3 linked regions of the Macaca fascicularis genome follow. The protein of the gene in region 2 interacts with the protein of the main gene of each other region in a pairwise test. Links are inferred from orthologs where the notes say so. Each region holds a gene or a part of one and is shown on either strand. Other genes may lie near its edges.

Region 1 (3,640 bases), about 75 Mb from region 2:
TCGCACTTGAGCCGGATGAGAATTGTAAAAACCCAGGTTGGGCGACAGGACGGCGCGTCTTCCCGGCTCCTTTCCAGAGTTTAGACGGAGCCATGCAGACTCAGCTGGCCTTTGAGTGTAGGTGGGCAGGCCCGAGGCGCCCTCTCGAGACCCCTTCAACCTCCCGGGGGCAGCAACACCGTGTCGGCTATGAATGGCGTCTCTGGAAAACTCAGGCTTGGAACAGGTAACCCCGCGGTTTCCGCAGGCCAGAAATTAGCCCCCGCAACCGAAGGACGCGCAGGCTGGGAGTGGCGGCGGGGCCGCCAGTGGCGGACCTCCACTGAGGGCGGCGGGACCCGACCGCAGGGGCTGGGCCCTGAGGCCACTATGGGGTGCGCTAGGCTAAGGTCTCCTGGGGGCAGAAGCCAGTGCGATTGTAGCTGGCCAGCAGGCTGGCCGGCCTGAGGCCTGGCAGAGACCCGAGACCCCGACCCTTCCCACGCGGACTCCGTGATCCCTCTCCCAGCAGCCGCCCACCTGGGGCCCTGAGCCAATAAGAGCTCGAGGTATATATGACTCACCGTGCCTGGGCCAATCAACTTGACGCGCGCTTTTCGCCAGCACCTCGCGCGATAACTTGGCGTCCTCGGCCTTCACAATAAAAACTCTCCGCCGGAAAACGACCTCTCCCCGCCCACCGCGCCGACACCGGAAGCGAGGCGTGTCTGCGAGATCACTCCGCGCTCCGGCGGCGAAGGAAAGAACGGACTCTGATCATAGAAGTAAAGTAGTGCACCTCTCTCGTTTCGTGAGGTCATAAGAACAAACACCTTTTCTCGTCACAGCTACGCGCTGGGCATAAACGGTTGGGGCGTCAAAGGGAGGGAAACGAGCGGGCGGGAGGAGATGGTCACGTGGCCGTGGCGGAAGGATGCGTCGGTGCTGCGTCCCCTTAGAGACGAAGTCTATAAAGGGCCGGCGGGCGGCTGTTGCGGCCATTTCTACTTCGTCCGCCCACAAATGTAGTTTGGTTCGCACGTGTGCGCCTTCCCTCCTCCCCGCCCGCAGGGTCCACGGCCACCATGGCGTATTAGGGGCAGCAGTGCCTGCGGCAGCATTGGCCTTTGCAGCGGCGGCAGCAGCACCAGGCTCTGCAGCGGCACCCCCCCCCAGCGGCTTAAGCCATGGCGTGAGTACCAGGGCGGGTCGTCCAGCTGTGCTCCCTGGGCCGGCGCAGGTTTTGGGTTGGTGGGGTGCGGCCTGGGGCCCAGGGCGGTGCCGCCAAGGAGGAAGCGATTTTACGAGCGCCCGGGACGCGTGGTCTTTGCTTGGGTGTCCCCGAGACGCTCGCGTGCCCGGGATCGGGAAGGCGCATTCTGGTGCCAGGACTGCTTCCACAGGGGCCCTGCCGCCCTCGGACCCCGAATCCCCCAAGGGTCCCAGGGGTCTCGGCTTTCCCCCCCCGCGAAACGTGGCAAGAACCAAGATGGCGGCGGCAGGGCGGCGCCGCGGGCGTGAGTCAAGGGCGGGCGGTGGGCGGGGCGCGGCCGCCCTGGCCGTATTTGGACGCGGGGACGGAGCGCCTTCCTCTTGGTGGCCGGTGGAAGAATCGCCTGGTCTCCGTGAGCGTCCATTTTGTGGAACCTGAGCCGCAGCAGGGAGGGGCGGATGCAACTGCCCCGTTGCCGACTCTGTAGATGGCTGGACTAGAGAAGTCCCGCCTCGTAAGTGGAAAGATGAAATTCTCAGACCAGCTAACCTCTAATGGGAGTTGGCTTCTGATTCCCATTCAGGCTTCTCACGGCATTCAGCAGCAGCGTTGCTGTAACCGACAAAGACATCTTCGAATTAAGCACATTCCTCGATTCCAGCAAAGCACCGCAACATGACCGAAATGAGCTTCCTGAGCAGCGAGGTGTTGGTGGGGGACTTGATGTCCCCCTTCGACCAGTCGGGTTTGGGGGCTGAAGAAAGCCTAGGTCTCTTAGATGACTACCTGGAGGTGGCCAAGCACTTCAAACCTCATGGGTTCTCCAGCGACAAGGCTAAGGCGGGCTCCTCCGAATGGCTGGCTGTGGATGGGTTGGTCAGTCCCTCCAACAACGGCAAGGGTGAGTGGGCCACCACCACATCGTCTGGGTGGGATCTAGGGTTAGGGGCCTGTTATCTTTGTATCTGACTCACTTGGCCCTGTCATTCAAATCTTTTGCAGAGGATGCCTTCTCCGGGACAGATTGGATGTTGGAGAAAATGGATTTGAAGGAGTTCGACTTTGATGCCCTGTTGGGTATAGATGACCTGGAAACCATGCCAGATGACCTTTTGACCACGTTGGATGACACGTGTGATCTCTTTGCCCCCCTAGTCCAGGAGACTAACAAGGAGCCCCCCCAGACGGTGAACCCAATTGGCCATCTCCCAGAAAGTTTAACAAAACCCGACCAGGTTGCCCCCTTCACCTTCTTGCAACCTCTTCCCCTTTCCCCAGGGGTCCTGTCCTCCACTCCAGATCATTCCTTTAGTTTAGAGCTGGGCAGTGAAGTGGATATCACTGAAGGAGATAGGAAGCCAGATGCCACTGCTTATGTTGCCATGATCCCTCCGTGCATAAAGGAGGAAGACACCCCCTCAGATAATGATAGTGGCATCTGTATGAGCCCGGAGTCCTATCTGGGCTCTCCTCAGCATAGCCCGTCTACCAGGGGCTCTCCAAATAGGAGCCTCCCATCTCCAGGTGTTCTCTGTGGCTCTGCCCGCCCCAAACCTTACGACCCTCCTGGAGAGAAGATGGTAGAAGCAAAAGTAAAGGGTGAGAAACTGGATAAGAAGCTGAAAAAAATGGAGCAAAACAAGACAGCAGCCACTAGGTACCGCCAGAAGAAGAGGGCGGAGCAGGAGGCCCTCACTGGCGAGTGCAAAGAGCTGGAAAAGAAGAATGAGGCTTTAAAAGAGAGGGCGGATTCCCTGGCCAAGGAGATCCAGTACCTGAAAGATTTGATAGAAGAGGTCCGCAAGGCAAGGGGGAAGAAAAGGGTCCCCTAGTTGAGGGTAGTCAGGAGCGTCAGTGTGCTTGTACATAGAGTCTCTGCTGTTGCTGTGTGTTGGAATAAATTATTTTGTAGGGAAAGTACTTGTGTGGATTCTTTTTCTGGCAAATTAGCCGAGTGAGGCGCCACCCACCCATCCCAAACTGGTCATAACATTCCTTGTGAGATCTGGGGAGGAGGGCAGTCCAGGACTGAAGATGGGTACCCAGAGTGGGAACTGCTCGCCCTGCTAGGTGTAAGCCACGATGCCTGATGACTCATGGGGCCATACAGCCAGATAGTTGGCCAACTGTAGCAAGTTGGGTCCTTTACCCAGAGGTGAGTTCGCTGGTTGTGTAGGGAGGAGGCTGGAGCTCTCTGGGAGGTTGGGAGGGAGGGACAGCCTGGGCCTCCACCTATTTATTCAAGAGGGCTTCATGCCAACAGCTGTCGCCTGAAACCCTGGATAAGCTTGCACAGTCCTTGAGATAAGCACACAAGATTAGTTTTCACTTGTTACCCTGAGTTCTGTAGAAGCGTGTTCCTGAAGAAAGAAATGGCTCCTTTTCGGAATTGATGCTGAAGCAGGACAGGAGCTGAGGGTTGGCCTCCATTTCTCCTTATGGGGTGGA
Region 2 (3,646 bases):
TTATAGCCAGGAGCGTTGGCTCACACCTATAATCCCAGCATTTTGGGAGGCCGAGGCAGGCAGATTGCTTGAGCTCAGGAGTCCGAGACCAGCCCAGGCAAGACCCCATCTCAATTAGCCAGGAGGGGTGGCACACACCTGTAGAACTAGCTACTCAGGAGGCTGAGGTGGGAGGATCACTTGAGCCCAGGAGATCGAGGCTGCAGTGAGCTGTGATCACACCACTGCACTCCAGCCTGGGTGACAGAGTGAGACCCTGTTTCAAAAAAAAAAGTGTCAAGGTCATGGGTCATCAAAGATAGGGAAAGACTGAGGAACTGTCTCAGATTGGAAGAGACCAAGGAAACCACTGACGACTAAATTAGGATCCTCACTGTATCCTGCACAGCAAGGGGTGTTAGTGGGAAACTCAGGAAATTGGAATAAATCTGTGGCTTAGTTAATAGTACTCTACCAAAGTTGATTTCTTAGTTTGGGTAATTGTACCATAGCTATGTCAGGTGTTAACATTGGAGGACACTGGTTAAAGGATATATAGAAACTCTTTGAACTATTTTTGTAGGTTTTCTAAAAGTCTAAAATTATTTCAAGATAAAAAGTTTTTGAAAATGCAATGGGGTCACACTCCTTTCTCCACAGAAAACTCCTGTGTAACTGGCAGCTTAGTGCACTCCCTGGCACATCTTGACTGCCCCCAGGAGTCTGGAGACGGAACAGGAGGCGAGTCTCTCTGCCCTTCTCCCCAGAATTATCTTTTAAAATGTTTTCTTAGCATCTAGGTCAGGTACAGTAGCTCACACCTGTAATCCCAGCACTTTGGGAGGCTGAGGCAGGCGGATCACCTAAGGTCAAGAGTTCGAGACCAGCTTGGCCAAAATGGCAAAACCCCGGGCACGGTGGCACATGCCTGTAGTCCCAGCTATTTGGGAGGCTGAGGCAGGAGTATTACTTGAACCTGGGCAGCAGAGGTTGCAGTGAGCCAAGATCACACCATAGCATTCCAGCCTGGGTGACAGAGTGAGATTCTGTCTCAATTAAAAAAAAAAAATTCTTAGCATCCCAACCTAGAGAAGGAAGATTATCTTTTAACCAAAAAGTGCTAATTCTCAGTTTCACAGAAAAAGTGCCCGTGTGGGGAACCTCAGACCATGTTTTGGCTGTGGTCTTAGAATCCTGAAAACACCCTAACAATCCAGCCCTTTTCCCTACCAATGGAGAAACTGAGGCTCGGAGACACTAGGTCACCCAAAGTCAGTTGGTAAGCCCAGCCAGGCCCCCTGCCTCTCACGCTCAGATTGAATTAAGACCCAGGCTCTGGAGTCAGATCTAGGTTCAAATCCCAGCTCTACCACTTATTTTGCTATGGGATCTTGGGCAAGTTACTTGAGTTCTCTGGGCCTCAGTTTCCTTGATCATATGAGAATAATAATAGCACCTGCCTCATGTGTGTAAGGATGGAAGACCTCATTAGATAATGTGGCGATGCCTTCATCACTGTCAGCTACTATGACTTTCACATCTCAGTGCTCCATCCCAGCCTTCCAAAGGGGCTCCCAAGAGGACTGAGTCAACTCTTTTTTTTGTTTCTGTTTTTGTTTTTTTTTGAGATGGCGTCTCACTCTGTTGCCCAGGATGGAGTGCAGTGGCATGATCTTGGCTCACTGCAACATCTGTCTCCCAGGTTCAAGCAGTTCTCCTGCCTCAGCCCTCCGAGTAGCTAGGATTACAGGTGTGCACCACCACACTCGGCTAAGTTTTATATTTTTAGTAGAGACGGACTTTCACCAAGTTTGCCAGGCTGGTCTTGAGCTCCTGACTTCAAGTGATCCACCCACCTCTGCCTCCCAAAGTGCTGGGATTAAAGACCTGAGCCACTGCACCTGGCCTCAGTCAACTCTTCTCAGGGAACTAGACAGGGGCTGCTAGTTACTCCAGCCTCTCCACTTCTTGCCTAAGTTACTTTGCCTTCCTGGGCCTCGGTTTCTCTCCATCATGGCCCACCCCCTGGGTGTGTCTGTGGCTGGGGCTCTGCAACCACACTCACCTCTCACAGTCAGTGAAGACAAAGCGACACAGCTTGAGATCACGCAGGACCAGACCGTGCTGGTGACAGTGTGCCAGGGCGGTGGCCATCTGGCGGAAGAGCACAGCAGCCTCAGGCTCAGGGATGCGGCGGCAGCTTCGCACCAGGCTGTGCATGTCTCCGTGGGTCCGAGTGAAAAAGGCATAGAGGAGCTGGGTACCAGCCAGGACCTCAGCGGGCTGAGCCACATGCTTGTGCGGGGGCAGCCGCGCATAGGGCTCCAGCACGGCTAGGGCCTCATGGATGGGGTACACCTGTGGGCAGAGAATGGTGTGAGCACAGCTGGGGACTCCCGGGAGCTGAGGCTGGCATTGCAAACAGTCACAGCTGGCCTAGCTGTGCTACCATGTGCTAGGCATTGCACTAAGCGCTTCACTTCCCGAGTCATTCAGCCCTGACCCCACCCTGTAAGTAGGATGACTCACTCCATTTTACAGTTAAGGAAGCTGAGAGGCCACACAGCCAGCAAGCAGCACAGCTGGGATTTGAGCCTATGCACTCCATTGTCTGTGCTTTTTTGTTTTTTGAGACGGAGTCTGGCTCTGTCACCCAGGCTGGAGCGCAGTGGCGCAATCTCAGCTCACTGTAAACTCCGCCTCCTGGATTCAAGTGATTCTCCTGCTTCAGCCTCCCATGTAGCTGGGATTACAGGCGTGTGCCACCACACCCAGCTAATTTTTGTATTTTTAGTAGAGATGGGGTTTCACCATGTTGGCTAAGCTGGTCTCAAACTCCTGACCTCAGGTGATCCTCCTGACCTCAGGTGATCCTCCCGCCTCAGCCTTCCAAAAGGCTGGGATTACAGGTGTGAGCCACCGCACCCGGCCTTTGGTCTGTGCTCTTAACTGCTAGGCTATATGGCCTCAAACATCAGATAAATGAAAAGTAACAGGTCACCCAAACAGAAAAATAACCCTCAAAGCAGGAGGAATCCAGGAGGGCAGATGATGCAGAAGGCACCTGATGCTCATCACCATCACAGCTCCTGTCCTCTACACTTGACTGTCCACCCACCCTTTCATTCATTCAGTATGCTGGCCCTGGGCCTGTGTGGGCCAGCCACATGTCCAGCAGGACTGACAGCCATGGGCTCTGCTCTCCGGTGCCCGCTGGGAGGCCATGCAAACATGCCCAGAAACTAAATATTGACAAATGCTGATAAGCATTGCAAAGGAACAAAGAAAGATGCTGGAATAGAGGTGTTTTTTTGGTTTGTTTTTTGTTTTTTGAGACGGAGATCGCTCTTGTTGCCCAGGCTGGAGTGCAGTGGTGTGATCTCAGCTCACTGCAACCTCCGCCTCCCGGGTTCAAGAGATTCTCCTGCCTCAGCCTCCCGAGTAGCTGGGATTACAGGCACCTACCACCATGCCTGGCTAATTTTTTGTATTTTTAATAGAGACAGGGTTTTACCATGTTGGCCAGGATAGTCTCGAACTCCTGACTTCAGGTGATCTGCCTGCCTCGACCTGAGCTGGCGTGAGCCATTGTACCTGGCCTGGAATAGATTATTTTGGAAGGGGGCACCCATTTTAGAAAATATGGCTCAGAAGCCGGGCGCAGTGG
Region 3 (3,746 bases), about 74 Mb from region 2:
AATCTTGGCTCACTGCAACCTCTGCCTCCCAGGTTCAAGCGATTCTCCTGCCTCAGCCTCCTGAGTAGCTGGGATTATAGGCATGCACCTCCACACCTGGCTAATCTTTGTATTTTTAGTAGAGATGGGGTTTCATCATGTTAGCCAGGCTGGTCTCGAATCCCTGACCTCATGATCTGCCTGCCTCAGCCTCCCAAAGTGCTGGGATTACAGGCATGAGCCACTGCACCGTGCCCGGCCCCTTCCTTCTTTATTTTATTGAGTCTTTCCCTGTCTCATAGACTTATGTGTGAATTCTGCCATATTTTCTCCCAGCTATCCATTCACCAGGCATCCTCAGCCCCTGCTATGGCCTGGCCCTCTGGGGTCTGCCTTGGTCCCTGCCTGCCTTCTGCTGAGGAATCAGGGCAGTGGCAGGGGCGGCCCCACGAGCCCAGCAGTGACTGGCCCAGACACAGAGCTGGACACCACACCCCCTGCTTCCCACAGCTGCTGTTTCCCGAGGACTGCCGGATGTACAACTCCATGACAAGATTTTGGGGAACAAAGTCAAGAGTGAGGGTGCTGGGTGCTAAACAAGGCCTTTTGGGAAGAAGCAAAACCCCTCCACAATCTGATCACAGGAGAGTCAGGGAGGAAGATCTGGGCCACGGACTTAAAAAATGTGGGGAGGAGGCCAGACATGGTGTCTCACGCCTGTAATCCTAGCACTTTGGGAGGCCAAGGCTGGTGGATCACTTGAGGTCAGGAGTTTGAAACCAGCCTGGCCAACATGGTGAAATCCCATTTGTACTAAAAATACAAAAAAATTAGCTGGGTGTGGTGGCAGGCACCTGTAATCCCAGCTACTTGGGAGACTGAGGCAGGAGACTCACTTGAACCCGGGAAGCAGAGGTTGCCGTGAGCTGAGATAGCGCCACTGCATTCCAGTCTGGGTAACAGAGCGAGACTCCATATCAAAAAAAAAAAAAAAAAAAAAGAAAGAAAAAAGAAAAAAAAAAAAGACATGTGGCAAGAAAGTACACACAGGAGAGCCCGCACCAGGCACGTCACTTATTGTGTTTTCTGCATTCCCAGCTGCTTAGCTCCTATTTGGGGTGCAACTAAGACTTTGGTGCTACCTGGTTTCGGAAGACGCCCGTCTCCCAGGAGACAGTTGAGTGCTGCTTTCTAACTTCCACGGTGAAGCACAGCCAGGTTTCGTTCCGATTGTTGGCTTCCCATAGGTTTTTAAATTGGAAGTAGAATGTGCCTGGATCCATTGCCTTCATCGGGTTTCTGAGGGCACAAGAGAGAAACCCCAATGCAGAGACCCCCCCCGCCGGAGTCCTGGGGGCTGATGCCCACTGAACACCACTCCCTAGACGGCCCTGGGCTCTGGGCCTCCCCCATCCCTCCGCAGTCCTGAGAATGTCTGCTGCTTTCCCAGGCAGGAAGACTGGGAGAGAGAAAGAGGAGGCGATGCTGGCAGGGGCAGCAGGGCTGCAGTGACCTCTCCCATCTGGAACCCCAGCTCTGGGGCTACCAATGGGACACCCTCAACCTCCCAGTTTTTCTGCCACACATCTCCCAACCCATTAGGAAAATGCAACAGACAATAAAACTCTTCACCCTGAAATAATTGCTTGAACATTTCAGCTCAGTTCCTTCCTCCCATTTCACCTGTCCGATGATGATATCACACCGAATTCCCCAGGCCAAGGCTACCTTTATTTATTTATTTTTTTTAAGATGGCATCTCGCTCTGTCCCCCAGGCTGGAGTGCAGTGGCACAATCTCGGCTCACTGCAACCTCCGGCCCCCGGGTTCAGGGATTTTCCTGCCTCAGCCTCCCAAGTAGCTGGGATTACAGGTGCCCGCCACCACGCCTGGCTAATTTTTTGTATTTTCAGTAGAGACGGGCTTTCACCATGTTAGCCAGGCTGGTCTCGAACTCCTGACCACAAGTGATCCACCCGCCTTAGCCTCCCAAAGTGCTAGGATTACAGGCATAAGCCACCGTGCCCTGGGTAAAATAAGGGTATTTGTCCTAATCATCATATTTTTTCTACATTCCATGTTACCAGGGTCATTTTAAAAGGGGAATGGTGCTCACGAAGGAGGAGCCTGTGTCTGGAGTCATATGCATCCTCCTCTGTTCACACTGGTGGCATCTTTGGAAGAAATGCCTTATTTTCTGGTACAGAGACCATTCCCTCCCCCACACCCTCTCCTAAGACTTTATATTGAAACAAAGTAAATCTTACAGAAATTTCATCAAAGTGCTGAGAACAAAATGTCGGATTGACCCAATCATCCTTTGGTTCAATTCTCCCAGTTCCAGAGCTCAGGAATGGTGGGAAACACACAGAGGGAGCACCCTCCCAGGGTGGGGAGCACCAGCCCAGTGGTGACTTTCTGGGGAGAGTCTCAGCAGGGGGCCTGGGCTGGTGCAGGTGGGGAAGGTGGCCCATTCAGAAGCAGCAGTGGGGCGACCACACAGCAGGGCAAGGAGCCTGGCTGGGAGTGTCGGCGGCGGGGGAGACAGAGGGGAGGGAGCCCAGAGGTGGGGCTGGGGCAGGGGGAGGCCAGGGCTGAGACCCAGCAGGACCACCAGGCAGGAAGGGGCAGGAGGGGCCTGGCAGACAGAGCGGGCAGAGGTACCTGATCTGTGGATTCATGTTCGGCCTCTTAGATACGCTTGTCCAGTCCCACTCTTTTCTGAAGTGCTGTGGCTTCTCTTCCCGTTTACAGAGTCCTTGCAGTTGGGCAGCCCTCTTTAAAGTGACCTCCCAGGGCCTTGTGAGTCATGGCCCCTCCCCGTTCCTGCTCAGGCACTGGTGTGGGAGACCCTGGGGTGCTTTCCGTTTCTCTGACTCTGGCCCTCTTTCTGGTTTTCTTCTGGCCCCTCCCACTGGCAGAGGAAGCTCAGACAAAGACAGGCTGCTCTGTCTTTATCTGTCTTGGGCAGGACCCAACGGAATTGCAAAGAGAAAGAAAGAGAAAGAGAAAGGCATTGCAGCCAGAGCCTGGGAGGCGGGTCCAGACCAGGCTGAGAGAGGGGCAGGTGCCCCCTTGTCTGGTGGATGGACAGGCTGGAGCCCCCTCTCCACCGCCCCCTCCCCAGCCCTAATGTGTGCCCAGAACTTTGAGCAGCACCTCCCTGTTGAGTGAGGGAGGTTTTGAGACTCCAGTGGGGAAGGAAGTGTGGACTCCGCACAGCACAAGTGAAGGCTTAGGTGTGCCTCAAGTTCCCAGCTGTGTGCTGGGTCCATTGCATGCCTTCCCTCTTCCAACCTCCCAGCTTCCAGAAGGTGGGGCGCAGGTCAGCCCCTCAGAGGTGTGGGTGGAGGATGACCCAGGTGCTGAGGCAAGAGACTGAAGGCACAAACTGTTTCAGTATAGTAAAGAATATACTTACAATAAGAATAGTTATAATACAAATTAGATGTAGAGATCATCATGGACATTATCAATCATTAGTATAGACATTAATCATTAGCTTTTAATATTACTCTTTATTACTCTTTAATATTACACTCCTTTATTAAGAGTAATATCAATATTATTATGTAACTGGTGGGTATATGGTCAAGTGCTGAAGGGATGTTGTGAGAAATGACCGAGAATACAAGAGGTGAGCCCTCTGTCCCACCTGCGTAAGGGCCGCTTGAAGGCTCCTTGGTCAAGCGGTGACGCCCCTGCCAAGAGAGCACCCGTTACTTAGCAGACCGGGAAAGGGAGTCTCCCTTTTCTTGGAGGAGTCA

The links.
Region 1: the proteins of TRIB3 (region 2) and ATF4 interact in binary tests that used the Homo sapiens proteins (3 or more experiments, as listed by UniProt). The link is inferred for Macaca fascicularis from reciprocal best matches to the Homo sapiens genes TRIB3 and ATF4.
Region 3: the proteins of TRIB3 (region 2) and APOBEC3C interact in binary tests that used the Homo sapiens proteins (3 or more experiments, as listed by UniProt). The link is inferred for Macaca fascicularis from reciprocal best matches to the Homo sapiens genes TRIB3 and APOBEC3C.

Annotation. Positions count from the first base shown.
Region 1 is NC_088384.1:12,124,613-12,128,252, reverse strand, and holds ATF4 (cyclic AMP-dependent transcription factor ATF-4), read left to right. Parts: upstream 1-978; 5' UTR 979-1,171; intron 1,172-1,775; 5' UTR 1,776-1,867; coding exon 1,868-2,093; intron 2,094-2,194; coding exon 2,195-3,024; 3' UTR 3,025-3,109; downstream 3,110-3,640. UniProt on the Homo sapiens protein: Transcription factor that binds the cAMP response element (CRE) (consensus: 5'-GTGACGT[AC][AG]-3') and displays two biological functions, as regulator of metabolic and redox processes under normal cellular conditions, and as master transcription factor during integrated stress response (ISR).
Region 2 is NC_088384.1:87,020,611-87,024,256, forward strand, and holds part of TRIB3 (tribbles homolog 3), read right to left. Parts: intron 2,338-3,646; coding exon 2,045-2,337; intron 1-2,044. UniProt on the Homo sapiens protein: Inactive protein kinase which acts as a regulator of the integrated stress response (ISR), a process for adaptation to various stress. Inhibits the transcriptional activity of DDIT3/CHOP and is involved in DDIT3/CHOP-dependent cell death during ER stress.
Region 3 is NC_088384.1:12,650,158-12,653,903, forward strand, and holds the start of APOBEC3C (DNA dC->dU-editing enzyme APOBEC-3C), read right to left. Parts: upstream 2,683-3,746; 5' UTR 2,661-2,682; coding exon 2,644-2,660; intron 1,279-2,643; coding exon 1,122-1,278; intron 1-1,121.